Struthio camelus: one gene and its partners. The protein of the gene in region 2 purifies or fractionates together with the protein of the main gene of each other region. This does not show direct contact. Links are inferred from orthologs where the notes say so. Each region holds a gene or a part of one and is shown on either strand. Other genes may lie near its edges. The genes, in order: YAP1, CCT2, RFWD3 and IGBP1.

What was found.
Region 1: the proteins of CCT2 (region 2) and YAP1 purify together in Homo sapiens (affinity purification with mass spectrometry; 3 studies listed by BioGRID, with this or other methods). This does not show direct contact. The link is inferred for Struthio camelus from reciprocal best matches to the Homo sapiens genes CCT2 and YAP1.
Region 3: the proteins of CCT2 (region 2) and RFWD3 purify together in Homo sapiens (co-immunoprecipitation; 3 studies listed by BioGRID and IntAct, with this or other methods). This does not show direct contact. The link is inferred for Struthio camelus from reciprocal best matches to the Homo sapiens genes CCT2 and RFWD3.
Region 4: the proteins of CCT2 (region 2) and IGBP1 purify together in Homo sapiens (affinity purification with mass spectrometry; 4 studies listed by BioGRID and IntAct, with this or other methods). This does not show direct contact. The link is inferred for Struthio camelus from reciprocal best matches to the Homo sapiens genes CCT2 and IGBP1.

The regions. Positions count from the first base shown.
Region 1 is NC_090942.1:208,824,731-208,831,983, reverse strand, and holds the start of YAP1 (transcriptional coactivator YAP1), read left to right. Parts: upstream 1-4,250; 5' UTR 4,251-4,538; coding exon 4,539-4,856; intron 4,857-7,253. Other genes in the region: CFAP300 (cilia- and flagella-associated protein 300), read left to right, coding at 3,050-3,181. UniProt on the Homo sapiens protein: Transcriptional regulator with dual roles as a coactivator and corepressor. Critical downstream regulatory target in the Hippo signaling pathway, crucial for organ size control and tumor suppression by restricting proliferation and promoting apoptosis.
Region 2 is NC_090942.1:40,739,201-40,746,839, reverse strand, and holds the start of CCT2 (T-complex protein 1 subunit beta), read right to left. Parts: upstream 3,006-7,639; 5' UTR 1-3,005. Other genes in the region: FRS2 (fibroblast growth factor receptor substrate 2), read right to left, coding at 4,304-5,254, 6,083-6,246, 7,156-7,314. UniProt on the Homo sapiens protein: Component of the chaperonin-containing T-complex (TRiC), a molecular chaperone complex that assists the folding of actin, tubulin and other proteins upon ATP hydrolysis.
Region 3 is NC_090951.1:22,426,905-22,433,971, reverse strand, and holds the start of RFWD3 (E3 ubiquitin-protein ligase RFWD3), read right to left. Parts: upstream 3,007-7,067; 5' UTR 2,917-3,006; intron 2,505-2,916; 5' UTR 2,376-2,504; intron 590-2,375; 5' UTR 588-589; coding exon 214-587; intron 1-213. Other genes in the region: MLKL (mixed lineage kinase domain-like protein), read right to left, coding at 3,821-3,873, 6,307-6,447, 6,957-7,006. UniProt on the Homo sapiens protein: E3 ubiquitin-protein ligase required for the repair of DNA interstrand cross-links (ICL) in response to DNA damage. Plays a key role in RPA-mediated DNA damage signaling and repair.
Region 4 is NC_090952.1:27,588,231-27,595,961, forward strand, and holds the start of IGBP1 (immunoglobulin-binding protein 1), read right to left. Parts: upstream 3,020-7,731; 5' UTR 3,008-3,019; coding exon 2,817-3,007; intron 2,741-2,816; coding exon 2,447-2,740; intron 317-2,446; coding exon 121-316; intron 1-120. UniProt on the Homo sapiens protein: Associated to surface IgM-receptor; may be involved in signal transduction.

The DNA of each region.
Region 1 (7,253 bases), about 170 Mb from region 2:
ACCGTAGAGTGTTAAGGCAATCTTAATGTGGAGGTGACAATGAATGAGCCAGATTTTCTTAGTTTGTATCTGAAAGAAATGGACATAACCTTTTGGCCTGACATAGAAAAGAACAAGCTGGTAAAAGTTGCTTGAGAATCAGCAGAGAAATAAGAGGAATCCACATTTTTGCAAACTATGTAATGGACAAAATAAATGGACAAATAAATGTATTTGGATACCTGTAAAAGTAGGAATGATATCAGGAATTAAGAATTTTATGTAACTTCTTCTTGACACCACCACTCCCTTTTTATTTGGTTTAGGCTGTGGCTAAGAAGACCTTGTTTAGGAAACAATATTAAAAAAAAAAAAAGCCTATTAAAATCAGATAATATAGAAAGATGAAGCTGGCTGTCATCATCAGTATACCGAAAATTGTGTCTCATGCCTCTTTTCTAACAAATCTGTTTCCACAGATACCTATCTCAATAGTGTGGGCGTGTCAAAATCAGTGGTGGAAACTGATCTCATCTTTGAAAGTGCTATTGTATGTTTAAAAAACAGCTTCAGGGCAGTTTTATTGTTTCAGTAGTAAGATCTCTTAATCTAAATATTTCAAGGTATAAGGGTTCATTTATCTGTTTCTGCAGATCTGTTAGTATCAAAACTCTGTAGACCAGGGCATCTCAAGAGAAATTTTAAGTTATGTGACCACAAACTGTTGAACTCCAAGCTTCATAGCTTACATATAATGAATCTTCATTAAATCTGAGGTATTTGGATATTAATTGGTATTTTAGAACTTTCTTTACCTGAACCTTAACTGTAACAGTGTTAGAAATCTCTGTAATAAATAGTTTATGCACAAAGTCTTTTTAAAAACTTATTGATAAAATAATGCGTTTTTAAAGATGTTCAATGTATCTTTCTTCATTACGCTATGCATTTGTACTCTTGAAATCTTCGGCTGAATATCTATGTTCTTGTAGAAACAAATTAAATTGATCCCACTCTGGCATCAGTAAATCAAGGAAGTGTTACACCAACTCCACATGTTTGAACCAAAGTTCAAGCTGGTTAGATTCATGTTTTATTACTCTATTACCTATTACTCTAAAGACAAGAGTAACCCTATGTAAGTTCCGATGGTTTTATGCTGAAGTGTTTTAGTTTTTCTTTTTAAACGACCTTTTTACTGACTAAAATTAAAGAACCTTCCCCCTTACCTTAAATGATATAATATTTATTTTCCTGCTGTCAAGCTTGGTATATTGTTGAGTTTTTTGAAATGCCATGCCACCACAACTTAGCTTGCTTTTTTTCGTGTTTTGTTCGGCAAACTTTCGGTGTGCTGTCACTGCTTTTAAACGGTCAAAAACTCAACTTACGTTGGTTGATTCAGTAAGGACTGCAGACATGGGATTTCTAATAGCAATGGGAAATCAGTTTAATTAACACTCACATTTTGATGTTGGTCTTCTCTTCCTTTTTGGTGGGCTTAGGTTATTTTTGTATGAAACTCCAAAGACATTGTGATGCTGAGTACTGTAAAACGCAACTTAAAGCTTGCTCTCTTTAGTGAAACTGAGAATCCAGTGTTTCATGCACCTGAATCCCTATACAATGCCTGAATGTAGCTAGATGTCTTAAAAATGGAGCCACAAAGCTTGTATGCTGTGTTGCTTAAAACAGAATACTATTTTTAACTTTCTCTATTTCACTGTTATCAGAAAATAATGAGAATAAATGTATCAAATCTCTGCCTCTCTTAAACAATGCTTTTAGGGAGTTGCTTATCTTAATTTAAGATTTATGGTCTTGAATAATTCCTCAAAGGAAGAACATGTAGTATGGAATTCATTATCTTCTAAATAACAGGAGAGAAATTTGGGTGCTGATAACAGCCACTGGATAAAATTCACAAATTGTCCCTGGACCAGAAAATGGAAACGAGGTCTTTTCCCTCCAAGTTGACTGCCTTAGCCACTAAGATAGGGTGTTAAGAGTTTTCATGATTCCTTGGTCCAGAGAAAGACGGATTCTGCAGAGTAGAAGAGCTTCAACAGAAGAATGAGAGAGATGTGCTTCTAAGCTGGAATACTGTGTAGTCTGGGAATTTAAAGTTTTCCTAGAGGAAAAAAGGACACTATATGCAATATGGGAATTTACTCTAGTAAAAAAGGGAACAGAATTTACATATCTTCTAATACTGTGTAAAGTTGTAGGGAGCAGAAGGAAGCAGTTACCTGTTTTAAAAGAAAGGAGGTGTCTGCTACATGCTTGTTCATCTGTTAGATGTTCAATTACAAGACTGAATGCATCAAAAAAGAAGACATCTAATTTCTGAATCCAAGTAGGATTTGAGGCGGGTGACCAGCTTTACTGCTCTGTCAAGACTAAAGCTTTTATTGATATGTGCAGAAGTAGGATGTTAATTTGAAGAACCTAGTTTTCATAGTGTTGGTTGTCAGCTGAGTGTAGTTTTTGGAATGAGAAATTTGGAGTTCAGCATCTAAATTCTGTTAAAGCACTTTGTGAGAATTAGCAGACTTTTAAATAACATTTTGAAGATGTTAATAAGAGCTAGAAAGAGAGTTTTTCTTAGACACAAATATTGGAGACTGAACAGATGCATTAACAAATGTTAAGTGAAAAAGAATTATTGATAGAACAACTTTTGTTATTAATATATAGTTCCTAAATATTTTTCTATTTCAAAGGACACATGATTGGGTCTATGTATATTTAATCGTCTATATTTTAGGCTCTAATTATATATTCATGTGCTTACATGCTTAATTTTACATTTGCAATGGATTTTACATTTCCATTCAGGGTATTGGCACTGTTCAGACGGCTAGAGCTACTTACGTCCGTGTTGTAATGTCAGGACCTTCAGGGGAGATGTGATAAAACTACTTAAATAAACTCCGGTGTGTTTGTTGTGTTATGCCATCAAATAAATTGTTACAACTGAAACAGAATGATACATTTTATTCAAATTGTATGAATATGCTCATTGGTATCCATGTTGTCATTAACAGTTTCTTTTTCCTCTTCCTCTCAGGATGAGAATGGCCTATGTTATCCTTCAAACAAAAGCCATGAACAGACATTTGCCTATTTGATTGTGGACCCTTTCAAACGACACGTCCATACGTTGTATCATTGTTTTGGTGGAAGCTTCTTTGGAACCTAGTTTATTAACCTGGTTGTTCCCAAATTTTATAATAGAGGTGTTGCTCTTTCTGCATGAATTCAAGTAGAAGTCGCACGGTTTTCTTAGGAGGAAGCATGTACTCCTTCATTACACAACCTCTGAGTGGTTACATGTTTTATATCGCTGTTACTGTGCGGTTAGCGAAAAAAAGTTTTGTATAATTTTTGACTAGTTTATTTTTAGAGGAATACTTTCTGAAGCTGTTTGCCCGATAGTTGTGCCCCCTCTTCCCTCACCCGCGTTATCTAATAAACGGCATTTCTCAACATGTCTCGTCCCTGTTTATAAACCCTTTCAAGATCCGCGACGCATAAAGTCAAGGAAGGGGAGGCTCCGGAGTCAGCGAAATCTCGGCGGCAGTGGGAGAAAGTGCGTCAGCCGCCGCCGCCGCCGCGCTGCCCCCGGCTCCCCGCGCCCGCTCGGCCCCCGCGCCCGCCCGGCGGCGCCGCCAGGTGAGCGGGCGGCGGCGGCAGCCGCAGCCCCCGGCCGCCCCCTCGCCCCGCGCGGGGCCGCCCGTGCCCGCCCCGAGCGCCGGGGGCGCGGCCCCCACCCCCGGGGCGGCGGCTCCCGTCCCCCGCGGAGGCGCCGGGGTCGCTCCCGCTGCCGCTCCCCGGGCCGGGGCCGGGCGGGGGAGGGGAGGGGAGCCGCGCCGCGCCGCGCCGCGCCGCGCCGGCCGCTCTCCCCCCGCCCCTGGCGGAGCGGGCGCCCCTGGAAGTTGGGATGAAACTTGCGGGAGGGGGAAAAGTTCTGGTTGACTGAACTTCTTCGCGGCAACGCAGTGCGGGCGGGCGCCAGTGGGAGAAGCGCCCCCCGGGGGCCCCGGAGGGCGCGGGGAGCGTCTTAGGGGAGTGGGGGTGAGCCCACGCGCGTCTCGGCGCGCACCGGCGGCCGGCTGCGCGCGCGGGGGGGGCGGGCAGCACCCACGGCGCGGGGCGCCGGCGGCGGTGCGGGCGGGCGCGCGCAGGAGAGCCGCTCGGCACAGGCTGCCTCCGTCCGAGACGGTGCGGTGCGGGCGGGCTCAGGAGGGGCGGAGCTGGCTGTGGAGAGTGGTTCGGGCGGGCGTAACTCAGAACTTTTGTTTGGCGTGTTGTGTGAGTTAGTTTCCGCCGCCGGGACAGAGGCGCCGGCCGGGCTGGGCCGGGCTCGGGGAAGTGCCGCACGGCCAAAGTTGTTTTGCCAGTTGCTGCTGCCGGGTTGATTTCCCCGCTGAGGGGTAAGGAACACCAGCGAGAGCAGGACGAGCCGCAGCCCGGGGAGCGGGGCATGCGGGGCTGGGAATCGGGGCTCTGAGTCGCCGAGCCCCGCCAGGGAAGCGCCGGGGGGTCCCGCCGGAGCCATGGATCCCGGGCAGCCTCAGTCACAGCAGCCGCCGCAGGCAGCGCAGCCCGCGGCGCCGCAGCAGGCGCCGCCGCAGCCCCCCGGCGCGGTGTCGGGGGCCCCGGCCGGCGCGGCGCAGCCCCCGGGTGCGGGGCCCCCTCCGGCCGGGCACCAGATCGTCCATGTGCGGGGCGACTCGGAGACCGACTTGGAGGCGCTGTTCAACGCCGTGATGAACCCCAAGGGCGCCAACGTGCCGCACACGCTGCCCATGCGGCTCCGCAAGCTGCCCGACTCCTTCTTCAAGCCGCCCGAGCCCAAGGCCCACTCCCGCCAGGTGAGGGGGAGGGGGGCCGCCCGGGCCGGGCCGCGGAAGGGCGGGCGGGCGGGCGGCGGTGGCGGCGGCCGCCTCCCCCCCGCCGCGGAGCTCCTCCCGGGGGAGGCGTGCGGGGGAGGGGGGCCGGGGCCGGGCGGGAATCCGCCCCTGCCGCGCGGCCGGGCCGAGGGGAGGGGGGCGCCGAGGCCGGGACTCCCGTGGGGGAGGGGGGGTGGGTGTCGCTCCCTTTCTTCCTCCGGCTGCCTTGTGGGGGAGTCCTGCTCCCTCCTCTTCCTCCTCCCCCGCCTTATTTGTTCTTCACAGAGTGTTGCGGGGGGGGGGGGGGAAAGGGAAGGGAGGCGTCGCGCGGCTCCTCAGGGCGCTGAGGGGGAGCCGGCCCCGCGGCGGGGCGGCCGTTGGTGACCGTTGGCACCAGCCCGGCCCGGCCTGGTCCGTCCCGGTCGGCGGCGAGGCCTCCGGCTCCACATCCGCTGGGCGTCGAGCCCCGTGGCTGCTCTCCGGGTCTGACCGGAGCGGGTGGGGGGAGCGGGTGGGGGGAGCGGGGCCCCCGGCACCGCTGGTGGAAGCGCTTTGCTGGGAGGACCGGCCGCGCGGATTGCACTTTCTGGCCTAATCCGGCGGCGCTCATCCGTCCCCGTGGGGGAGGGGGCTGCGGAGGCCGTGCCCCCCCTCCCCTCCCCTCCCCTCCCCTCCCCAACATGGATGTAGATTTTCCACCATTTCATCACTGCGCCGGGCTGGGCAGGAGTCGTGCCCCCCCCCCCCTTCCCCCGTCAGAGTGAGTTCCGGAGCCCGGCGCTTTCTGTGCGTGTGGGTACCTTTAAGTCTGGCTGTGTCGAGGGTCCATTAAATTAACCGTCGGTGCGTTGGGCAGACATGATGTGAAAGCTTAAATCTCGGGGACCTGAACGGACACGAGAAACTGGTCTGCCGGTTTGCAGTGCAGGCTGAGTAGGAGATGCAGGATAGGGCCAGCGCCGAGGCACTGCTAGCGTTTGATCTTCTAGCAGAGTGACTTTTGTGCCAAGACCGAAGTGTTGGTGCAAGTATGACTGAAAGTTAATGTTTAGGCTGCTACTGCCAACTTTTTGGAAGGAGGTTGTTCCTACTGGAGTGTTTTTATTAAGTAATGAACTTTGTTGCTAAGCTATAAAATAGGTTTTATTATTGGCTATTGTCACTTTATCTATGTAGCCAGTAGGAGTGAAACTTGCTCTGTGTACTGGTGCCTGGTACTCTTGTTGTTAAGGGTCTGTCAACATTTCCATTATTAAACTTCTGTTTTGAAGGATTTATAACTTGGCTTCACAAGTTTACTCCAGGCTGAACCTTGGCACATACTCTCTTAGGCTAGGAGTTAATTCATTTTCCAAATACTCGAAAACCAATCTGGCCTTTATATTGTAAGACCGAAAACAAAATAGAAAGAGGTGGGACTGAGTTGCTTCTGTATTTTTGTTTGCTTCTGAGTTGCCAATCTTTGAATTGTTGAATAAAAATCATATCGTTTCATCAGCATTAATAACATGCTGAAATACACTGAGGAATAGTGCAGTTATTACATAGCTTTTACTCAAGTTATGCAAGTTTTATCACAGTTTGATTATGCACGGCGCTGGTGTAAGTTCATCTACTGCTTATTGCTGTGTCCTGTTAAATACAGTGAGTGCAGCTAAATGGCTCTTGTATTTGAAATGCATTTAACTTGTACGACGTTCATACACCATGTACTTTTAAGCTTAGGGTTATCTCGCCTGTATATATTGCTCTACATCCGTAATGCATACGGCTTAGTTGGATCACTGTTTCTTGTACCAGTTGGTGGTTGTTAAAATATAAACTTAAAAATCCAGCTGAAAGTAGAAAATCATTTATTTCATTGTTGACTCTCTTTTAAAAAGTCAGGCTGTCTTAATTTTCCTTTTTTGTTCGTTAGTGCCATAGCGATATTCTGCCTAACAGAAAGGGTCTTTAGGTTTCTGTAATTCTTTCTCTCTGTTTCTCAAGAATAAAAGCACCTCACGTTCAAGTGAATTGCAACTTGTGCATTTTATTAAAATCTAAGCTAATTCTTTGAAATACGTTTCCAATTTCATATATGAAACTTTGTACTCACATACAGGCTTAATGAAACAGAAATGTCAGTCTCCATGAGAATACATAAATGGGGCCTCGTGTATGGTGCAATACCTTGTGTAGAGAGGTGTGGCAATGGCTGATATATGCAACTTATTATAGGTGTCCATGTTGTTCTGGTGTATCTGCAAAAAAGAATTAATTTATGAATATATGTAAAAGTCAGCCTTATTTGAACTCAATTTTCAAAGCTGCTTTTCTGTTCTGTGGTGGACGCCTATCTGCTGACGAAGTAGTTCTACGTAGTTATGACTGGCAGCT
Region 2 (7,639 bases):
AAGTTCTTCAATTCCAGAAATGCCTAATTCTATCTATCAAACTGGAGGACCAAGCTTCTTTTGGTTTCTTGCGGGGAAAATTGGGAAATTTCAAATTTAAGTCCACTATGGACTCCTAGTCAATCAGTTTCATCTATTTTGCAGCCGTAAACAAATTAGCACAGGGCAGAAATGGCATTTCATCACTGATTCCACCTTACATGAGGAAGAGAATACTGCTAAGAGAGGTCCAACTCAGACCCAACATTATATGCTCAAAGTAGTAACTGAAATTAATCAGAACTTGCATTTTTTACTTCGCCATCAGTGCATGTAGGCAACTTGCTCTTTCCTGATTCTGTCTCACTGTGAACATAGTTACATATAAAACTAAGACAAGTATAGCCATATTTCGAGCCAATGCACACGGGCATAAATCCAACAAAATCAGCTGCTAGTCTGTCCCCTGCAAAAGAGCAACCTTGTTCTGACATTGTTTCGGGCTTTGTACAGCTCAGACCTTTCTGTGGACCTTGTTACATCCAAATCCTTGTCAGAGGTTTAAACATGCAAAAATATCTAAACATCTCAGGAAAAAAAAAAAGGTATTTTATGATATGAAATGTTTATTTAAACACATACACTTCTAAGTCAAGTTTTGTAGACCTAAATAGGAACAGGGTTTGAGAATGCACACCATTACATTCAACACCTATCGTATGCAAACTGTACTCATCAGTACACCTGTATAGTTACTTTTTAAAAATATTCCTTGAACAAGAGCGTTCTAAGGATAGCTGAAGTTTTCAGAACCGTCTTTTTTCTTTTGTTTTATGGAGTCACTGAGAAACACTACAAAATTAAAATTGGACCTCTTCTTGGTACGAGTTTGAGAAGGAAAACAATATTTTCCTGATATAACTAATGGATTATATTCTCATCAATGGTATTTCCGATGCAATCTTTATTATGTATTTTTGGCCACTGCTCCAGCTTTACTATTTCTATAAATTGAAAAAGAACTTCCGTGTTTAAAAGGTACTCTAATTTATGTCTTTCTCAAATCACGGCACTGCAGGAATATCTACAGTTTAAGGCTTCCCCTAGTCTTATGTCTTACTTGAAGAGTAGCAGTCAATTGCCTGGTACGGATGAAAAGTGGAATGAAGTAGATCTTGCCATTTTCGCAGGACAAAAGTTCATGTAGAATTAACATGTCTCAATTATTAAAGAAAATTGTTACATATTTGTAACTTCTCGCTCTATACGCTTGTGAGCCCAAAATAAATATGATCTAAATACTGTGGAGACATTTAATTTGAAAACCGAACCCTAGATCTACAGACAGTAAGTCTAACATGACAACCTTTTAAAGAGACTGAACTGCAAAAATATTTACCAAGTCTCCAAGGGTAAAGTGCATTGCAACTACATCTACTGCAAAGGGCAGAAGAGGAGGAAAAGGAAAGAACGCTAAAGACGGGGAACAAGGACTACGCAGTATTTTTCCAGCTTACACAAAATGAGAAAGCATTATCCCACCTGCAGAATGAAAGAGGGTAAAAAGATGCCTGGAAAATATGGTGTCAGACCGGTTAACATAGTTAAGGCTATAGGCGGCTTTCCCTTAAATTCTGCCTGATGTATTTTCTACTGAAGATACTAACAAAACGCCAGGACTAAGCACTCAGAAAGCACAGAAGTTGAAATTTCACTATGTCCTCAATTCCAGGCACCAGAGTTCGGAAAACACCTCCTCACACACAAAGTACTGCGACTTGCAAACTTGCAGCAACATAAAAAAAATTACTCGGACCATCCTTTGCCTCTGAGACTAGTCAGTATAAATGCACAGGACAATGTACCGGAACTAAGGAGGAATACGTTTGCTTTCTGGAATTTCAGCAGGTCACTTACAAGGTACCTAAAGTCTCTTCCTCTATTTGTCAATTAAGAGTATTACTTCCCTGCCTCACAGGTATGTTTTAAGGAACAAATTAACCTGTACTTCTGAGACACTCATGCTATACAGATGAGGACCAAACATTTCTAGGCAGCTAGCTAGGTCAAACAGTTTTGCCTCAAAACACATGCTGCACGGTTAGTATGGCTCACAAATTTAAGTGAGCTATAAGCTAGGAACAAGCATCACACCAGTATCGTTAATCGTTAATATATTTCACAACACTTGGTAATCTCTCTTCAGCACAGACCAAGACCGGTCCACAGCTTAAGATGAGGCAATGGCAAAGATGCGAAGGAGCAGTAACACTGCAGACCTGCAAAATGCTCTAGCTAGTCTTTACCTTCTTGAGTACCAAGTTCTCCCCAGATGTCAATGAGCCCATCACAATACTATGCGTAGGCCGACAGTGGAATCACTAATGACAAGTTTTTTTGATCGCCTTCATTTTCTCATAATGGTCTCAATGACTCATCTTTCACTTCTGCAAATTGTTCTTTGTGCATCTGGTATTTCAGTACCATACAGTCTGTAAAGAATAATCAAAACCTTTCAGAGCAAAAAGGTTGCCTGATATTATCCCTTAAAGAAGTGACAAGGAACATGTATTTCAGGTGCTGTCACTGTTGCCACTACCAAACTGACAGAAGACCAAAGAAAAATTAACAAGGGAACAGGAACACACTCCAATTTACATGACTGGAAATAGTTTTTAGTAACACTTCCATTCAACTATTGCATGAAGACCCTTAATTCTTTTTCAGATCCTCCAATGGCTTTTCTTACACGTTTTCCTCACATACAGTTCAAGGGTTTTTTTTTGTTTGTTTGTTTGTTTTTTTCCAAACACACCAGTACACACAAGTGTCAGTTCCTTTGCAATCACTGGCTCAAGAGTAATCACTTCTGCTGCTAATACCCAGGTGTACTGGAAATACTGCCAGAATTCTAAAATTATTCAGAATTACAACAAACAAAACAACCAACAGCTAAGGGTGCATCTGGCATATTCAACAAAAGCATGCTACCTGGATGTACCTGTAACACTGAGCAGCTACTATTGTAACCAACTTCACCAACTGCAAAAGGAAAAGAAGTATGCTCATAGATAATACTACCTTCAGATAACTTACTACATATTCTTTCTAAATTAAAGTGTACTATCAACTATGGGTGCACATTGCTAGAACGTACAATTTGCTATAAAGAACTATCAAGTCCAGTACCCTGCCTCCCGTGTAACCTGTGTCTGATGCTTCAGAGGAAGACAATAAATGCATAATAAACCTTTCCAGTTGTGCAATAATGCATCCTGCTGGAGAGCTGGGATATTCCTGTCAGGCGTAAAAAAGTACAACACTGGACAAAGACAACCATTTGACCTCCCAAGAGTCTTTCTTTGTCAAATGCAGAGAATAAGACAAACACACAAACAACCCTGAACAGTAATAAAAGCTATGTACAAAATTTTGACTCTTAAAACAAGACATTATAGGACAGGTAAAAAGAAACACAACTGCAAAGGCAGGCAGGCACATCAAACTAAGAAATGACAAAAGAGCCTTAATACATACAGCCAACCTGTGAATTCCTTCACAAAAGACTAATGAGAGCAACGTTTTGTCAGATTTCAAAGGGAACTTGATACACCACTTGAAATTCTCTTCTGGCAGAAGTGACTTAAGGCTGGTTTCAGATGCATTTGCAGCTCTGATCAAGCAGGCTTTGATATGACCTCTCAGACATCACATAAGCTAAGGAATTTGAGGCCTTCTTGCCCATGTGGTCTTAAAAATAAAAATAAAAAAAAAATATATATATATATATAAAAACCGAACATAAAAGGTGTGGTGTTTCTATCCCTTGAGATGAACCAAGATATCTTGTGTAAGTCAAACTGAGTGAATTAATGAATTACATACATTTCACTCTGGAGGAGCCGTGTGAACGAAGACCGAGTATGAAGATATGGACCTTGAAAGATTAGGTTTACCTGCTAATAATGCACATATCAAGAGGCTTTGAAAAGTGTTATAAATGCCATTAATGACTACAGGCACCAGACCAGAATATTTATAGATTCAAAACTGGCACGTCACTCAGACTCTAATAAATTTAAAGAGGCACTGTGAAAGGTGGCGATGCTGCTATGCAGTAATTACTACTACTGTAGAACGAAATAGTGTTACTTAAATGAATATTTGCTCTACATTAATTCCCTTTAGTTAGACAAGTACATGAAGTATGCAGAAAAACTTCTATTAGTCTATAAAAGGCGTTCGTGTTAACAAATGCAAAGTACTTGTATCTTCAATTTTATAAACTTCACAAAAGGTGCAAATGATTTAATGCTTTCCAGGCTCACATAGGCAGGTCAGTACTGTTATGTCTAGTTTTCCTAGAAGTACCATCATCTCGGGGCAGTGCTTTTTGCAAGCTTGACATAGCAGCAGTTCTTTCAATGTCTATCACAGCATACAGCTCTGTGCGCCTGGTTGGAGTTTGCGGAAGTGGAGTGGTGGGGGTTTTTGGAGTCTGAGGGTTGTCGGAGTCACTACCACCTTCCAAGTCAACCTGTATATAGTTGAGCTGCCTGTGTTCTAAACTTGGACGCCTAATGTCAAAGTTGAAGACTGTTGGGGTACAGTCCCGACGTCGTGTAAATTCTACTTTATGAGCACTTGCTGGTACTGTTACATTCTCCGTATTGACATAATTATGCATTGGATCTAGGTTATTGTGGTAGCCATTCAGAGATGGGGTCTTTGGTCCTAAACCGTCATCTTCATCTCTACTCAGCTTGCGGGCTTCCCAAACAGGAGGCAAGGATGGCAAGTTCTCATAGTTCAATAACGCAGTTCTCCTTTGAGCAGAGTTGTTAATGTTCTGGGTATCCGAGGTACTGGTTGATGTCAGACGACCTCTCCTGACCCCTGAGGCACTAGGGATTGATAACCTATTTATGTTTTCATAAACCAGTTTATTGCCAGACGGTGTTTCTCTGCGTTCGTCGCTGTCGTACCCCGTGTCCCATTCAGTGTTGTTTGTGCTGCTGCCACTAACTTGGTCTCTCCCAAGTTGCTCCAGTTTCTCTCTTTCCATTAACTGCCTTTGAACAGGTGTTGGTCCTAAAACAAACTTGACTCCTTCAGGCTCTAGGAGAACCTGAGCGTCTCTGTCATCAGTACACATCTGATCTTCCTTCACTTTATTTGTTTCCGTGTTTGAAAGCTTTGATTCCAGTGGCGCATGCACACTTGATCGATTTTTTCTTTCCTCTTGTACCCCAGTAGTGTTGACGTAAGTGTGCACCTAAAAGGGGGGGGGGGGAAGGAAAAAAAAATTCAAACACTTCTTTTTTTTTTTTTAAATTTCATTCCTTCTTACTCTCCACTTTTTTTTTTTTTTTTTAAAAAGGTGGCTAGGGAGCAATTTAATTGCTGTTTTCGACCACTTAAGAGATGGTTAAAGAGAAGACAGAGCCAGCCCTTTTTGGAGTTGTCCAGCAAAAGGATAAGGGGTCACGGACACAAGCTGGAACAGGAAAAAATCTGACTACGTATTAGGGAAAAAAGTTTCACAGAGGAGAGCAGTCAAACATTGGAACACACACCCCAGAGACACTGAAATCTCCTTGCATGGAGTATTCAAAGCTTGATTGGACAAGGCTCCGAGCAGCCTGCTCTTAACTTCAGAACTGGACCTGAGTTTGGTTCTGCTTTGCCAAGGGGCTCTAGAGGTCCCTTCCAACCTAAATTATTCTATGAGTCTATGTACAGAAAGCTTATTTGCAAAGAAGCTTTTTGACTAGGATCTTTAATCATAAAATACAGTTTGTGTGTTTAAGACATAGCTACTGAAATAAAAAGCTTATATGTAAAATATATATTTACCTATTTGGGTATATTTTATCTTTATTATATGTATAAAGAACAACTTAAAATAGCTATTCTTCCCCAGCAAAGTATGATTTTCAAGTGGCAATATAAACACTCTTCTGAGGCAATTAACATATGGGAAAAATACATTACACCTGATACTGAAAAACACAAATGAAAACGCAAGCCTAACAGTACCAGCATAAAAATCTGAACGGATGCTGAACACCAATTATACGAAAGGAAAAAGAAAAAGACCCACTTGTTCCTCTGCTACCAGTAAAGGATGCGTTGATTCTTCACCAACAGAGGGGAGGCGTGCACTTCCAACAGAAGGATGCCTACTGGAAGGATGCGATGAAGCATCTCCAAAAGATGGATATCTGGGATAGCCATTAGGTAGGCTTTGCGCATTGAACCCAGGAGCTGATTAAATTAGAAAACAAGCAAAACCATATTAGAATAGAAACGTTTTACTGTATATGAACAAGATGCTTTAGATCATCCTCCTCAATTTTGAAAAGAGGAATCAAAACATGTAAAATAGTATTAAATAGTCACAATGCTCAACTTTGCTAGGGGGAAGGAAAGGGAAAAGCAAACTTCAGAGTAGACTATCCCAGTGTTTACCTGAAAACATGTCTGAAGCAGTCACTGAAATCTACCTGTGTTGTAAACCACAATTATCCCAATAAACTCCCCATCCGACTTCTTTTTTCCACTATTAACATGTTTCCCTAAAAACCAGGACCTAATTCATTGAAACTTCTATTTCTCTGAAGTAACCTGCAATAAAGTGGAATTCCTACTGTCAGATATTAAGCCATATGCCTAGGATTACCTTAGAGTCCCCAGAAGTTTTGAAAGGGCTTCTTTCTACCTAACCATCTATACATAGGAGGAGAAAAAAAAAAAAAAAAAGATTCCAAATTCACTGTAGACGTGGCATGACCATTACACTTTTTCCCTAACAAAAAGACTGGAGCACTGCCTAACCGTAACATATCTGAACAATGCTAGAAGAAAAGTATGGTGATATTTTATAAAGCAACTGAATAAGCATATACTTAAGCAGTGTTCTGGTGCAAAAACTAAGGTCGCAAAGCTTAGTTTTTCAAGCTGAAGAATTTGACTACAGCAGTTTTGCTCCCAAGACTTCAGATTCTGGAAAGAAAGTCCTCAGAAGTATCTCAAGGGACTGCATTACTGGCAGTTAATCTCTTAGCTGAAAATAGCATTTAATTTGCATTAGTTAAGTACATTTAAAAATCCAATTTAAAGCTAAGTATCACATTACGTTTCAGGTATGCCATTCAACAGTATAACCACGCTTACTGGTAGGTGTTCGAGGGGTTCTTGGAGCTTCCAATTCAGTTTGATGATTATTCCTTTCTACTACTGGTTCTTCTACCACATTTATGCTATTGTTCTGCATTATCTCTTGCAACATATTAAATAGCTCTTCTGCACGGGCACATTTAAAGGCAAAGATTCCTATAAATACAACAGGAAAAAAAAAAAAGCCAAAATCCTTTTAAGAAAAGTGCCTTACAATGTAACTTATTTTTAAACAACAGAACTGGAATCCACATAACAAATACCTGCTAAAGAAGGAAAAACATTAACAACTTCTTCTTGCACCAAAACACAAAAATACAGCAAGAACCTTTCAAGTGTTTAGCTCATAGAAGAATAAACTTTCCATGCACCAGAGGTTAAGTTGGAACAGAAAAACTGATTCAGTTACAAAGCAAGTCTTAAATTTGAGTACTAAATAAGGGGGTAAAAGAAAAAAAAAAAGGTAATTTTTTTTAAGAGT
Region 3 (7,067 bases), on a different chromosome or scaffold from region 2:
GGAACTAATTTAATGAGGAGCAAAAGATTGCAAGAAGAGATCAGACAACAGTGTGCCATTACACAGGTCAAAAGATGCGAGGTGCACAGAATTCGGCCATAATCACACACTGGACCGAGCTGGGCTCCGTAAGCCGGGAAGCACAACGCTTTTTAAACCGGTATCACAGGTGTGATAAGACAGGGTTCAGACCCAATTCCATTTCTGCTTTACCTGCTACTGACTGTCCTCTGGGAACCACCAATTCTTTGTTGCCTGCGAGCTCTTCTTACTTGCGGACGCTGCGTGATCTGCAGCCCAGGCAATACCTGATGCTGATCAAATGCTCCCCGTAGCCTTTGCAGTCCACGGAGAGCCGAGGCAGAACCCAACCGCTGGTCAGAGTCAGCAGCAGTCCTTGTAGTATCAGCGTTTGATATCACAACAGCTCCATCAGCAGGAAGAACTGTAACAACATCTCCTTCTTCACTGTGCGCTGCAGTATGTGGTACTCTGTGATGAGAGGGCTCTGAGAGAAGCGCCCGGTGGTTCTCTACGTGGTAACCAGCCACTGGTTGCAGATCAACTTCCATCTCTTCTTGAGCCATTTCTGTAAAGAGTTGATAAAAAACAACTAGTACCTGCAAGTCTGTGCCTGCTTGTAGCATTATGGTGGCATGAATTGGGTGCATCAGTCAGTCACTACAAAAACCTTTAGAATTCAGACTAGAGAAGCATAGGTCCTTTTGCTTTAGAGACGCTGCAAAGCTAAACTGGCTGTCTCAAGTCGAAAGCTGTATGTTAGCTGACACAGAAGGCAGCGCCCTCCCAGGGTCCTTGATTTTGAAGCCCTTGGCTCAACACTACCTAGTCGACTTAAGTTAGCTTTCAGATGAAAGTGGACAGTTAGGGATTTCTTGCTGGTATCATCTACTTGCTGGTAAACACATTTGGGTCTTGGAGTACAGAGTTTGGAAAATGCTTTCACGCTCTAAAGTCTCTACAGCGACAGGCGCTACACAGACACCTACAAACACAGCCAGAAACCAGCTGAACAGCACAGTCCTTTGTCCATTGCATTGCTCCTTCTGGAGGAGAGTTTTTTTTTTTTTTTAAAGTTTTTTCATAGATAAATAAAATTCCATTACAATAACAGCTCACTGGGAACCTTACCCACCTTTTAATTACTTCATCAACACCATACAAATCCAATAAGGGTATTTATTATACCAGAACCCAAAACAGAGACACCGTGGATAGTAAGGCACCTACAGTATCAGTATTTGTGGAGCCATATCCAGTCTGACACTAAAAAAACATAAAACTTTGCAATAAAACTCATGTGTTATTTAAGCATGGTTGCCTTCCAAACACCTTTGAGATGAAGACGGCAGGTAACCTCCTAAAAAGAGGTAGTATGTTAGGCTTTGAAGGAAAAAAGAAGAGGCAAAAGGCTGTGCATTGCTAATAATCAAGCTGCCACAGAATTAGAGCACATTAGCTGACCTGTGGTTCTGCAGTCTTACAACACAAGAAAGCAAGATTTTTTCAACTGAATAATTAAGTATACCAAACAATCCTCTTTTTTTGAGGGTGGGTCAAGTTCTGCAAAATGCTGAAGGTTATTTGTATCTTCAAAAGATACTTAGGCAACCATAAATCTGAAAGGCCTTGAAGATGGTAGACCTTTAGCCTTAAATTTAAGAGCCCAAAGCACACACCTAAACTTATTAGGCTAGGCCGTGTGCAAACAGAGCAAAGACTTCTTCTAGCACAAGGGATAGCTAGGAAAATATATACATGAATTACTAGAGGGAGATGTACTAATGGTAATGTATTTTTATAAACCTTTTTGTAAACTCTAAGTTATGAAGCATTTTATAAGTCTTAACCTAAATAACACTTCGACCCAAGCTAGGCAAAGAGGAGATGCCAAACCCTGTCCCCCCACGAGAATAAACAGTCATATAATCAAGATACAATAAAGTTCAACCACATGTTCCTGTGATAACATTCAGCTATACTGCTTCTCTAGCACTAAACTCATAAAACTGCCACCCAAAAGCACAAGAGACTCCTTATTTTCTCATAAATTAACACTGAGGCTTAAAAATATTACATAAATTAACCATCCTGGGCTAACTCGCCATTCATATTTCCTCATAAAAGACGAGGTAATACTGGCATCTGCACCATTAAACCTTGGAGCCTCGTGAAAGGCGTAAAGATCAGTGCTTCCCCGTGACAGCCAGTCACCTGGCACTAGCAGGGAGGGCCTACATGTCCCCACAGCCAAGCTTCTTGGGCCCAGGTCACAAAAGTCGGAGCGCTTTCGCGCAGAGAAGCCCGAGTACCAGCACAGCAGGCTGCTTCACACAGGCGGCTGTAATACTAACCCGAGAGCTTAACGCTGAAGCACAAGCTTCCCCTTGCGCAGGGGCTTCTGGCCGCCGCAGCGCGCCGTGCTGCTCTGACGGACCTTCAGGCTTGCCTCCACATCGCCAGCCTTTATTCCTCCACGGCTGCTTTAACACAAAGATAACCAAAACTCAGCACGCCGCGAAACTCGACCTCTATGACGGGGTTTCTTTGTGCCTTTTGAGGGGATACTGCAACTGCGATGGGCCCTGGCAAAAGGCGCGGGACAAACCCCGCGGCGGCAGGGGCCTTGCGCCCCGCTCGGCAGCGCCGCCAGGGCCGCGCCCCGCGCCAGGCCCGCAGCGCTCCGGGCCCCCTTGGCCCTGCGGCCGCCGTGAAGCCCCCCGCCCCGGGCACAGCCGGCGCCCAGGCCTCGCGGCGCGCCGGCCCGGGGTCACCGGCGGGGCCAGGCCCGGGAGGGCCCTGCCAGGGCGGCGGCGTGGGCGGCGTCGCCCCCGGGCCGCCCCCGCTGCAGGGGGGCCCAGCGGCCCAGGCCGGACCGGGCCGCCCCGCACTCACCTCCCGGGACCCCAACCGCCCCTCCCGCGCCGCTGGAGCGCCGCGCCGCTGGAGCACCACCCCCGCCGCCCTATTGGCCAGCTGCCTCTCCCGCACCTGCAGAGACGCTTTCTATTGGGCGAGCCGAAGCCAGACGAGCCTTTTTTATTGGCGAGCCGCTCTGTCCGTCTGCCCGAGAGACAGCGGGAGAAGGGGCGGGGCGGGGAGGAGAGGCGGTTGGTGCCCTGATTGGCCGGGTGTCTGGCCAGCCGATGGAGGGGGGCTGCGGAGCGGCGTGCTGATTGGGCAGCGCGTGGCGGGGGGCCGGCCAAGAGCCAGGAAGTGCGTTTTCACTGGAGGAGCCGCAGCTCAGACGAAATGAGCGGGAGCCCGAGCGGATTCAAACAGGGGCCGGGAGGGCGGGGGCGTTGCCATGGCGACGGCGGGGCCCGCTCTCCCCGTCGCGAGCCCCTGGCTCGGTGGCGGCGCTTCCCCCAGGACACGCGGCCCGCGCCTGCCGCGGTTTCCTCGGCGAAGGGAGCCCCGAGCTGGCCGCATCGTGGTCCCCTGATTCGCCCGGGCTGAAAGGATCCTCTCGGAGGCCCCTGGCCTTCCCTGGCGCAGCGTGGCGCAGGCCTGCCGCCGGCAAACCTGGAGGCACCGGGAAGCCAGTGGCCGAGCGCTCGCCAGCCACCTCCGTGGCGAAACCAAGGCGCAAACTAGCAGGCACGACTACTTGCAGACTTGCGAGTCTTGCCATATAAATACATAAAAGGTGTATTGAACAATCGATCGTTGCAACTAGGGGGCAGAGGGGCAAGCTTCACGCGTCAGGCCTACGGGAGGGAGGCACACCGTTGCTCTTCTCTTGCTTTTGAAGCTGCTTGGCTGGTTTCCTGGGGTCACTTGAGCCTGTCTTTTGCAGTTAGCTTCCTTGGTTTCTGCTTCTCTTGAGGTCAGCCAGCCAGTCCACGATTTCTGCAAAACACAAGGACCGTCTGAATGGAAACAGAGTATCCGCTGTCAGCAGGGGGGGGGTTTCTCTCATGAGATAGATAGTTCTTCCTGGCTGACAAAAACTAGCAGGTGAAATCGCTCTGTGCGCCAGCCTAACAGCCGCCTTGCGCCAGCGCGCCTGTGCTGTTCCTTGCAGGTGTGACTTCCCTGAACGGAGAGGCACGCGTGAGCACAGTTCAGAGAGAAGCAGGCGTAGACACAGACAGATGCCTGGAAAGAGCTGTGAGAAGACTTCCTTCAGCTCAGCACCATGCAGGCACAGCTGAGCAACGGGCTGGGGGCATGGGGTAGGACTAGAGTATTGAAGACACAGTGTGTCTTCGGTTTAACTTTGCTGGAGCCAATAAACCTGAGGATTTTCAGCATTTCCTAGCAGCAGCTCTCAGAGCGGGCCATTCCCTGAGGCAGGGTTTCCTAAGAAAACCACTCTTCAGAGGCTGAGATGCAGAGAGCACAGCAAGAGCTGGGGGGGGTTTCTTACCCAAACTCTCCAAATCTCTTGTGTAGATATCGAGCTGGTAGTGGTGGGAGTGATTAAAGGACGCTTTCTCCCCCTGGAAAGATGATGGACTGAGGAAAAGGTACTATCATCTCAGTCACTTGTGCCTTCAAGCACAGCAGAAAGGTTTCTTTATCTTTTTCTGCTGCATCTGTTAAGTCTTATGATTGAGATCAATTATTTATCTGATGCAAACATAGACCAGCTTCAGAGGCAGTGAAATCATCCCCAGAGCAGAACAATTCCTGAAATTGCAATTTATTGCTAAAAGCCCAAGGCAGGAAATGTTCCTGTCTTGTGTTGTGACTGCTCCTCCAGCTTACAGGAGCTGCAGGATTTGAGCGAGGATCAACCCATGGCTCCTGTTCCTAGCCCAGTGCTTGTCTGACAGACTGCTTACTCTTTCATGATGCCTAATGAATAGCCTAGTGATTATTTTCATGGCATGGACAAATGTTAACTGGGTGAACCATCATGCTATCTACAGGAGAAAGAGACTTTTATTGCTAGGGGACTCCTTAGCATAACAAGGTAGGACAAGGAGTGATGGCTGAAAGAGAAACCCAGTCCAATTCAAATAGAAAGCAGAAAGGGACAAATTAAGAGTCTCCTTCTCTGGAGATATTCAAAACCTGCCTGGACGTGATCCTGGGCAATGTGCTCTAGATGACCCTGCTTGAGCAGGGGGGTTGGACAAGATGCTCTCCAGAGGTCTCTTCCAACCGTGGCCATTCTGTGATTCTGTGAACCACTGAGCGACAGAATGGATTTGCCATCCTTTGAAAGCTCTCGGACATGACAGGACAACCCCTTTAAAAGGATCCTGTCAAGGGAATTCTTGGATCTGACCCTCTGTGTTATTGAGAGCACAGGATCAGGGATCACAGCGTTTTTTTCCTGGGTTTAAAATCTAGACTATGCTTAGTAAGAATTCTTCCTTTGGCCCAAGTTGGAAACTTCTGATGGCCAGGCCTCACTTGACAAATGTTCTGCCCCGGGAGATCAAGGACTGAGTTTATCACTAAATACCACTGCTAGTGTGAACAGCAAAAAAAAAAAATCTTTCAGCCTCAGGCACCTGCCTGCAATTGGTCTCCTATGCTGCAGGGCTGCCGTCGGCTTGGGAAATCTGTTGGACAGGGAGGAGTTGGAGTGCTGCTGGCACTGAGCAAGCACGGGAAGCGCATCCTTGGAGACACCTACACGACACGTCTGCATGCAAACAGAGGCTGGAAAGCGCAGGATTTAGGCTAGCCCTAAAACTGTATGTGCTTTCACTCAACCGGTCAATGAAGGCTGCAGCACCCTGGGTAACAGGACAACTTGAAAAAAACCCTTTCACATTGGGTGCCCTGGTGCTCTCAGGGGCCACAGCACTGAGTTAGCTGCTGCCACTGATCCTCCATTCCTTCCCAACCGGGTCCTGTCCAGGAAACAGGCTATGGATGGGGTTGCGAAGAGAAGCGTGCTCTTTGAGAAGACAGAGAGTCAGGCAAGCAGCATGGCCAGGCAGGAGGGTTATCTGCATAGGACCATCAGCCCTGTGTCACACACCAGTGGGACAGGAGAGCAGGACAGCCCTTTTAAATGCATTGCTGACCTTGGCAGCCTGAGGCCCTGAGAAAGCTGGGCTCAGCTATTTGCTGAAAAGAAGACAAATCTGGGCATTTGTCTTCGCCCCCTCCCCCCCCCCACACACCCATCAAGGGGGCAAAGCTCACGTTACTGCTGCTCTTGAGCAGACATCCATCATCTGCTGCAGCAGCAGAAGACATGGGTCCCTTCGGCTTGGGTAGCGGAAGTGCAGGACAGCCCAGCAATGTGGAAATGTGGTAGCATGGGACTGGAAGAAGGAGCAGACAGCTAGGGAGATGAGCCCGCGCAGAAACACTTACGCTCAGCAGAAGGGCGCTGGGAAGGGTCAAAGGCCCGGCACTGGTCAATGATTTTCTCCAGGTCTTTGGGACAGTCTTCCCCAACAGGCTCCCGATAATGGTGTTCACAGATTTTCTCCCTGATCTCTTGGGGAGTGCAGCCTAAACCAACACACACACACCAACCACGTCAGGCCGGCATGGCAGAGCTCTGCTGCCACAGGAGGCTGCTGGGCAGGGAAGCCAGTGCAAGGCCACTTTGAGAGCCTTCCTGCAGCCTACAGCGCAGAGGAGCCAGCACAGAAACCGCCCGAACTGTGTCTGCAGTGAACCCCTCTTCTCTGCCATAACGCCACTGGGCTCCAGTGAAGCAAGGCGATGTGTTTATGCTTCAGCGCATAGGAGCATCAAACAGAGACAGAATCATTTGCACGCTTGTGGTTTAAGCATGTGCTGAAAAGCTTTACTGTGCTGGAGTTGGAGTCCTGGGAAAAGCCACGTTTAGAGGCTGTTGTGCTGCAGGTTGGGCAGACCCAGGCATCCTGGGCACTGCCATGGGGACCCACATGCCTCTGGGTGCTCTGCAATGGAGCACAAGTATCTGACCCTGGCCAGCGATCTAGCTGGGCCCCGCTGCTTTCACACAGGGGGACCAGATGCTTTTATCTCACCTTCAAATGGGATTTTGGAGGTGGCGATCTCCCACAGCACGATCCCAAAGCTGAAACGAGACAAGCAAGAGTTCGTCAGCAATGACCCCCACTACCTTGTCCTGCCTCCTC
Region 4 (7,731 bases), on a different chromosome or scaffold from region 2:
TCTAGAACTTTGCAGAATAAAACTTACAAAACTCTGCCTCTGAGGTTCGTTTACCCGCAACAGTGTCTGTCATCAGGTCTAAGTGTCCACAGGATCTGCAGTTCAAGAGAGATCTCGTACCTGTTTTACTGTACCTCTGCTCCTCAAAATGAACATTTCTTGGTCAATACTCTCAATTTCCTCAAGGCTGACGTTGATCCATTTCTGGGTTTGCAGGAGGTAAAATTCCCGCATCTGATCTTCATCTGCTTGCCCACTCTCCACAAAGGTTCTCATAGAGGCCAATCTGTTCTCCAGTTCCTTCTTCTGCTTATACCTGGTTCACAGAGAATAAAATGAGATCGTCTGAGTAACCTTCTCTAGCATAACCCAGATACTGCGTTTTCTAAAATAAACAACTTGCTCTTTCTTGAAATTCAGTCAAATTCAGTGAAAGAGCTACCTCCTGCCTCAATCCCATTTTAATCGCTTTTTACATAGGTGCCGGTTGGAGATCATCGCTCATTAGCGTAAGCAAATCCCAGACGTTCATAAAGCTCCCCGTATCTTAGAAAAACCTCCCCGTGGAAGCAGTTTCCATTCATTTAACAACAGAATAACAACCCTGCAATGACTTAGAGGAAAATTTTCATTATGAAGAGAACCAATGGCAGCACCAGATCATACTGAGGGTTACTTGCTGGTGACCTCTAAAGTGTGAGCACAAGGCAAAACACCAAGCGCAAGGATATATCCACCCACCTCAATTAGAACCACCTGACTGACAATTTAAGTTTTTTGACACAGGGAAAAATACAGAAAAGATCCACTTCACTCGCAAAAGCTTTGAAAACACACAGTGTTTGCAGAAAGATGCATACAGTGCTAATATCATTTCCTCCCAAGATCTACCCCATCACTTTCATCTGTCCACTCAAGTTGAGACTTGACTTTGGATCTTTGCTACTCTTTGTAGGACATTTTAACACTATATTAGATATTTAGGAAGAGAATTTTGTACCAAAAGGGAGGTCCTGACGGTTTACTGTTCCAATTTAAAGTAGCTCCTCATTGTTAATGACAGCTACAATAAGACAGTTAAAATGCCTTTTCTCTACCAATTATTATTTTTTGTGCTAAGAGGTCAGCAAACCTAAAAAGTTAAGCCTCTCAAGCAAAATTAGGCACACTTGGCAGGGCTAATTGCTGGAGAAAAAGGAATTAAACTCTTCAGCTCCTTCACTGAGATAACCAATACAACAGCTATTTTGAATTGTCTCTACATTATACGAAGTTATCAAAAAGCTGCTTATAAGGCAGATTAATTCATGAAGAGTTCTGATCTGCAGAAAACCAAAACTGTGATTAAAAGAAACAAACAAAAACCTGATATAAGAACTGGAAGTGTGTGCGTGGTGGGGGCGGGGAAGACAACTTGATACATTTTAGGCTTGTGTCCAACTTCCTTTACTTACAGTGAGAAATGAACAGTAAGAACCAAGGATTAGAAAACTACAGGAGCTGAGAGGAGAAGCAGCCTAGAAGAATCGTGCAGCAGGGCAGGTTTGCTTCAGCTTGCCTCCTGCAGCGCCAGCCTGCTCCACGGGCTCCGGGACGCTGGAGCACCGTGCTTGCGTCCTGCTTGGAGAGCGAGGGTAAGGCAGCTCGGACGACACAGGCCTGGGCTAGACACAGGCCTCCTTAACAACATGCGTCTGTACAGCCTATGGATTATTCCTGAAAGCAAATACAATTGCAGCTCCTCACCTTGCACCCAGATCAAGTAACGACCTGCTTTCAACCAAACTCTCAACACAGGCACCTCTGGTTTTTCCGCAGGCAGCAGAAGGCAGGGCACAGCCAGACGAGCGCCGTGGGAGCGGTGCGTCTACAGGTGGACGATGCCGGGCGCAGCGGCACCCCCCCAGCGCAGCCACGCTCGCTCGGGGCGTCGCGCACGGCTCCGAGGTGGCTGACGACGCCCATCCCACGTCGTAAAGGTTTTGCTGCGCCGAACGTCTCCAACTTATTCTCCTAGCCTAGCCCAATCTCCGACTACCTTCTGGAAGAGGAACCAGGTTTTGCTTTGGTGCAAGGGAAGCGCTCGTGGAACCCAGCTGGGCCCTTTCTGCGCCGCTACACTCAACGATGACTTTATTATCAAAAGCCTTAAAGTAAAGCATGACGAAGAGGCTTCACATCTCTTCACTAAACATCAACCTACAAGCGCGCTGGTGAAAAGAAAAACAAAGCTAAAACACGGCGTGGCTTTACGCAGTCAGCGGTGACTAAAGGCCCAGAAACGAGGAAAGCTTGCACGACACTTGTTAGGCGGCTGGCAAGCGAGCCGCTTCTCCCCGCCGCGAAGGGCCACAACCCCTCGGTGGGCCCTCGCTTTAAGCGCCAGCGAACGCCCAGCGGCCAGCAGAGCGGCTCCATCACCCCCCGGACCCACCGCCTCGCCTACCTCTCGATCTTGGCCTGCCGCGCCGACGCCATGGCCACCAGGCCGGCCGGGCCCGGTGCCGGGCCGGGGCTCGGGGCGGCGGCGGCGGGCGGGCTGCCGGCGGGCAGGGTGAAGCTGCCCAGGCCGTAGCTCTTGCAGAGGCGCAGGAAACGCCAGAAATGGGCGCGGGCGTCTTCCAGGTGCTCCAGCCGTTTGCTCGGGTTGACCTGCCGCAACGTGAGGGCCCCCAGCAGGGCGGGCAGCAGCAGGTAGCGCAGATCGGCCGAGGCGATCTCCTCCACGTCCTCGTTCTCGCTGCGGGACGAGAGAGCCGAGTCCGTCCCCGCTGCCCGCACCCGCCGCCCCGCGCCCCGCCGCCGCCGCCCCTCACCTGAAGAGATCCAGCTGCGCCACCATGGCGGCCGCCTGCTGCAGGGCGTCCAGCCCCCGCCGCACCTTGTCCTGCACGGCCGGGGCCGCCGAGGACGGCTCGGTGCCGGCCTCCACCTCCTCCCACAGCCGCCAGCCCGCCGCCAGCAGCTCGGCCAGCCGCGGCCCCTCCGCGCCGGCCCCCTCCGCCATCTTGGGCACGGAGCGCAGCCACTGCCGCCGCGTCGCGTCGCGCCGCTTCCGGCCCCGCCCCCCGGCCGCCATCTTAGTGGCGGCGCCTCCGAGCGGCGCCATCTTGGTAGGGGCAGGGCGGCCGCCGCTGCCGGAGCGCGGTGCCATGTGAGGAGAGGAGGGGAAGGGGGCGGGGGGCGGCGCGGGGCAGCGGCCTGGGCCGCCCTGGTCGGCGGCCCCGTGGGGTGGGGTGGGGTGGGGGGGCCGGGGTGTCGGGCAGCCGCCGTCAGCCACAGCAGCGTGGCCCCCCGCGCGCAGGGCTGCGCTGCGCCCCTCGCCTCGCGCACCTCACCTCGCCCTCACGCGCCTCACCTCGCCCTCACGCGCCTCACCTCGCCCTCACGCGCCTCGTCTCACGTGCATCACCTCACGCGCCTTGCCCTCACGCCCATTGCCTCACACCCCTCGCCTCACGCGCCTCGCCTCAGCCTCATGCACCTCATCTCACGTGCCTCACCTCACGCCCCTCGCCTCACCTCACCTCGCCCTCACGCCCCGCACCTCGCCCTCGCCTTCGCGCGGGCCTCTGGCTTGCAGACTGTGCCGTGCCCGTCGCCGCCGGGCTCGCCTATCTCCTCCGCTACCGCACCTGCCAAGGAGGGGACCTCCGAGGAGACTTTGGGAGGAGGTGGCGTTAAACCTCTAAGCCAGCAGAAATAACAATAATTAGCGGGATTGTCAGAAAACGTGCCGTCTTCCCACTCGGGAGTTGAGTGGGAACAGCAAAGAGGCAGCTACCATGTTAAAATAGCGTATCATTTATGAAACAACATCGACACTAAACAAATTACTTTAAAATTGGGCTCTTAAGAGAATAGAGAGCCCAAAGTATACAAAGAAGACGGATTTTGCCAGAAATTAGATTGGAAAGGACAAACAAATTGAAAACGCAACTGGCTAACCACTTTTCCTTTGGCTCTGCCGATCCGGCTGTTACCATTACCAATCAGACTGATTTTAATATGACATACAGCATATACATCAGCTAAGGTTGACACCATAGTGACATCCTGTCTCACAACGGAAAATAAGGCCTGGTCCAGCTCTCCACAACTTCCGGGGTCTGTAGACAAGGAGACGCACCGCGGGACAAGGGTTATAAGGCACAAGCAGAGTAACCTGCGCCTGGCAGCGAGTGGCATGTTATTCACACAGCGTTCAGGGGCAGCGGCAGAGAGGGGGAAAGGGAGCTAGACAGTGACTGGAGGGCAGAAGAGAACAAACGATGAAGAATGCAGCCAAGGTGCCAAGGTGATGACTGTGAGGGAGAAGGGGATCACACAGCGGATGGACCCAGGGAAGGGCAATACCACTCCTAAGGCCGTCTTCAAATGTCAGCGCTCTCTGCTTGCATGGACTGAGCCTCCATGGAGGACATTACTTATTTCAAAGGCACTATATTTCTCTGCTCCTTTTAAAATAAAACAGTGTTGTACGTGTCTGGAGCAATGATTCATGTCTTTGGCCATAAGAGATTCTTTACCAATGGGGATACCCTCCCTTGGCCAAGCGTAGAGCAATGTCTCACATTCATTGTACTCAAGCAAATGAGCCACAAATATAAAGAGACTTTACAGAGAAAACTGGCAGAAGTTTGTTTCTGTTGGACTAATCTGGTTTTTCCTCCCACCTGATGCTTTTGCTCATGGCCTGTTTGTCTTACTTTACGTGCATCCCCATATATAACAGCAGTTACTCATCTTTTTAGGCCTTGGGTTTTTTTTGTAGATAGCATTAAATACAAGCTCACCAGAATTCTTCATCCTAAACCAAGAGGACCTGGATTTCCAAGAACTCATACGATTGCCTCCCATTTGACTTTTGCTTCAATACCCACACCTCTGGAGATTATTGGTTTGTTTTTTTGTTTTGTTTTGTTTTTTTTTCTTTTTAATATTGTGAGTCTCTTTCCATTCATCTTACCAGAAGAAAAATGCAGTGCAAGGCTGGAGTTTGTCTACATAACATAATATGGTGCTATGCAGCACCAGCCAAGCTGGAATCAAATGCTTAAGCTCTGGAACCATAAGCTTTATATAAGTATAACCAATGTTGTCCTGACGAGCCCGTTTGAAGAGCAGGCTAATTAGTCATTCTGCATCTGAACCCTATGCTAGTCTTTCTGCACAGTGCTCTGCTCTCATCTCCCAGCGCAGCGGTTTGCGTGGTGGCAGCCTGCACATTTCTGTGCGGTGAAGGTGCTGGTGTGCACCTAGGTGTGTTTTGTCTGTGTGGCTGCACCAGAGGGAGCTAAGTCATTGCTAGCAGTGAGACCCTGCAGGCCCTCCCTGAAGGCCACCCTAAGGCAGAGCAGCTGTGGCAAGGCTGTCCCAGGCAAACGTACAGGTCATGAAGGTACCACGTCTTGCCCTAGGTACTAGAACAGTGGTCCTCTATCCTCCTCTTGGAAGAGTCTGAATGACATTAAGCCTTAGGACACTGAGGCCAGTGCCCCTGCTGGGATTCACTAATGGCTTGTACTGGACTCTTACTGCCTAGCATGGGATCTAAATCTGACAGACAGTCCAGACAACACAATGCACAGCATTCAGTACACCCAGGCAGTGTAGTATTTTATAAGTGCAATGCCTCCCCTTTCTTCTCTGTGTGGTTTTTTTTTGGAAACAAAAGTAAGACAAAAAGCCATTCACCTTCCCTTGCTTTTAGCTCCCGAGTCGCTTCTTACAATATCTCTGAAATTAAAATAGGGATAAGGCAGATAAGAGTTAAAGCTGGACTTCTACAAACTGACATTGGTCTATAAGAAGCGCAATAAAAGTAATTGACCTAGATGTGAAAAATCTATGTGGTGCAACAGTAATTCAGGACAGGCCTGAAGCAATTAACCTACTAGAATGAGTCAGTTTATCATCTACTGTATTTGTCTTCTTCATACATACATGAGGAAGCTTGATAAAAAGTTAATCATAAAAAACAGAACAATTGTGGGTTTAGGTTCCTGTATGCTTTGTCCTGAATATACTCCCAATGGTTTTACTATTCTGTCATCCTCTCTCTGTGTGACCATTTTGATCATGCCTGAAAACACAGGCGCCAGGACTGTGAGATACGTCAACAGTTTTACACGTCATCACGTGGTATTCCTGCATACCAGCCAGGAAGTGAAGAACAACACTCTGTCCAGCAGTGGGAAAATTAATTAATATAGTTATTGGAAGCGGAACGGGGCCAGGAATCAACAGCCATTCGTTCTTCACTAGCACAAAATGCTATGGCATCCCTAACAATTAAAACTAGTTCCCTTTCAACAAAAAGGCAATGCCACTATCAGTACAGCATCTTCCCCCTTACACGTGGATTAATTAAAAGCTACAATAAACCTATCAAAGAGCCAAGATTTCAGCAGCACTTTTCTGTTAAGGATCAGAATGAAAGAGATTGCTAGAGTGAACTCCTTCACCCTTTTTGTTATCCACAGATTCTCTGAGCAGTTCAGAGATCACCTTTCCCGTAGGAAATCTCTGTTTAATCGTTAACAAGTATCTCCTATAGGCATGCCCTTTTGAGGCCTTCACCTCTTGGAGCAAACCAGAGCAGAGGTTTGCAGGGAGCTATAGGCTTGCTCTCCAAATAATTGCAAACAGGCTGAGGACAGGGCAAGGGACTCCAGCCCCGCTTCCCTTCCCTTAGCATTGCGTGGGGGCTATTTTGACCCAGATATTCAGGGGCAGCACAGGACTGGCTTTCAGACACACTATCACTGCTCATCAGACATGAGCTAGACTGAGAGAGTAAAAAATCTGTGTGAGGCCCTGTTTCCTCTGAGACTGAGAAGGCCTTGCCTCTAAGAGCCGAGTGGCTCAGCTCACCTCTGAGCTGGTTGGAAGTTCAAGAATTTCCCTGCTAGGAGTTAATCAGCCCTGTTTTCACCGGTTGCTCCAATTGGTCAAGAATAGGTTTTACTTACAGCACAGGAGCATGAAATAAGTAAGAGTTGGTGACCAAAATCACCCACAATCTGCTGGTCTTCAGCCCCAACATAACAAATTGCAAATATCTACACATGTTGTTCTCCTGCTGACTGAGGTCTGCTTGGCAGGACATGTTTTTCTGAGCTGCCCCTTCCAATTACAGAGCTAATGTTCTTAATACAAGGAAAAAATAAATGGTTCTTTGGCAGGCATAATTATCTAGCAAGCCCCTATTCACACTACAAAGAGCCCCAAGCTGGGGACTACAGGAATAGTAGCTGTGATTAGTTCCACTGTGTGTGAAAAGGAGGAGTTTTTTACAAGCAGGGGATCAATCTCTTCCACTCTCCAGCTCTACCAGGTGTCTTGGTGCCATAGGTTCTCAGCATGAAGTTAATGTCCCGGGATCAATCTCACCTCAGGTTCTGGAGTGTCCTTATATTTCCACCCATCATTTCCCAGACATGAAACATGCCCACGTGCTTTCCATTATATAGGTAGTAAAACCAAGACTGCCATGGTGTATTCCATTTCGTGCATGTGTACAGAACATCTGGCTTTGCACATCCAGAGGGCCTGTCCAGTGCTTCGCAGGAGCACTAGACACGTTACAAGTACATCCAGGCTTCCTGGAAGGTGTTAGAGCTTCTGCGTGTGGCCCTACAGCACGGTACACACAAATAATGCTCCAGCCAGACTGAAGCACACCTGGAAATTCCTTAGTCTACCATACAGCACATGCACAGCGGTCAT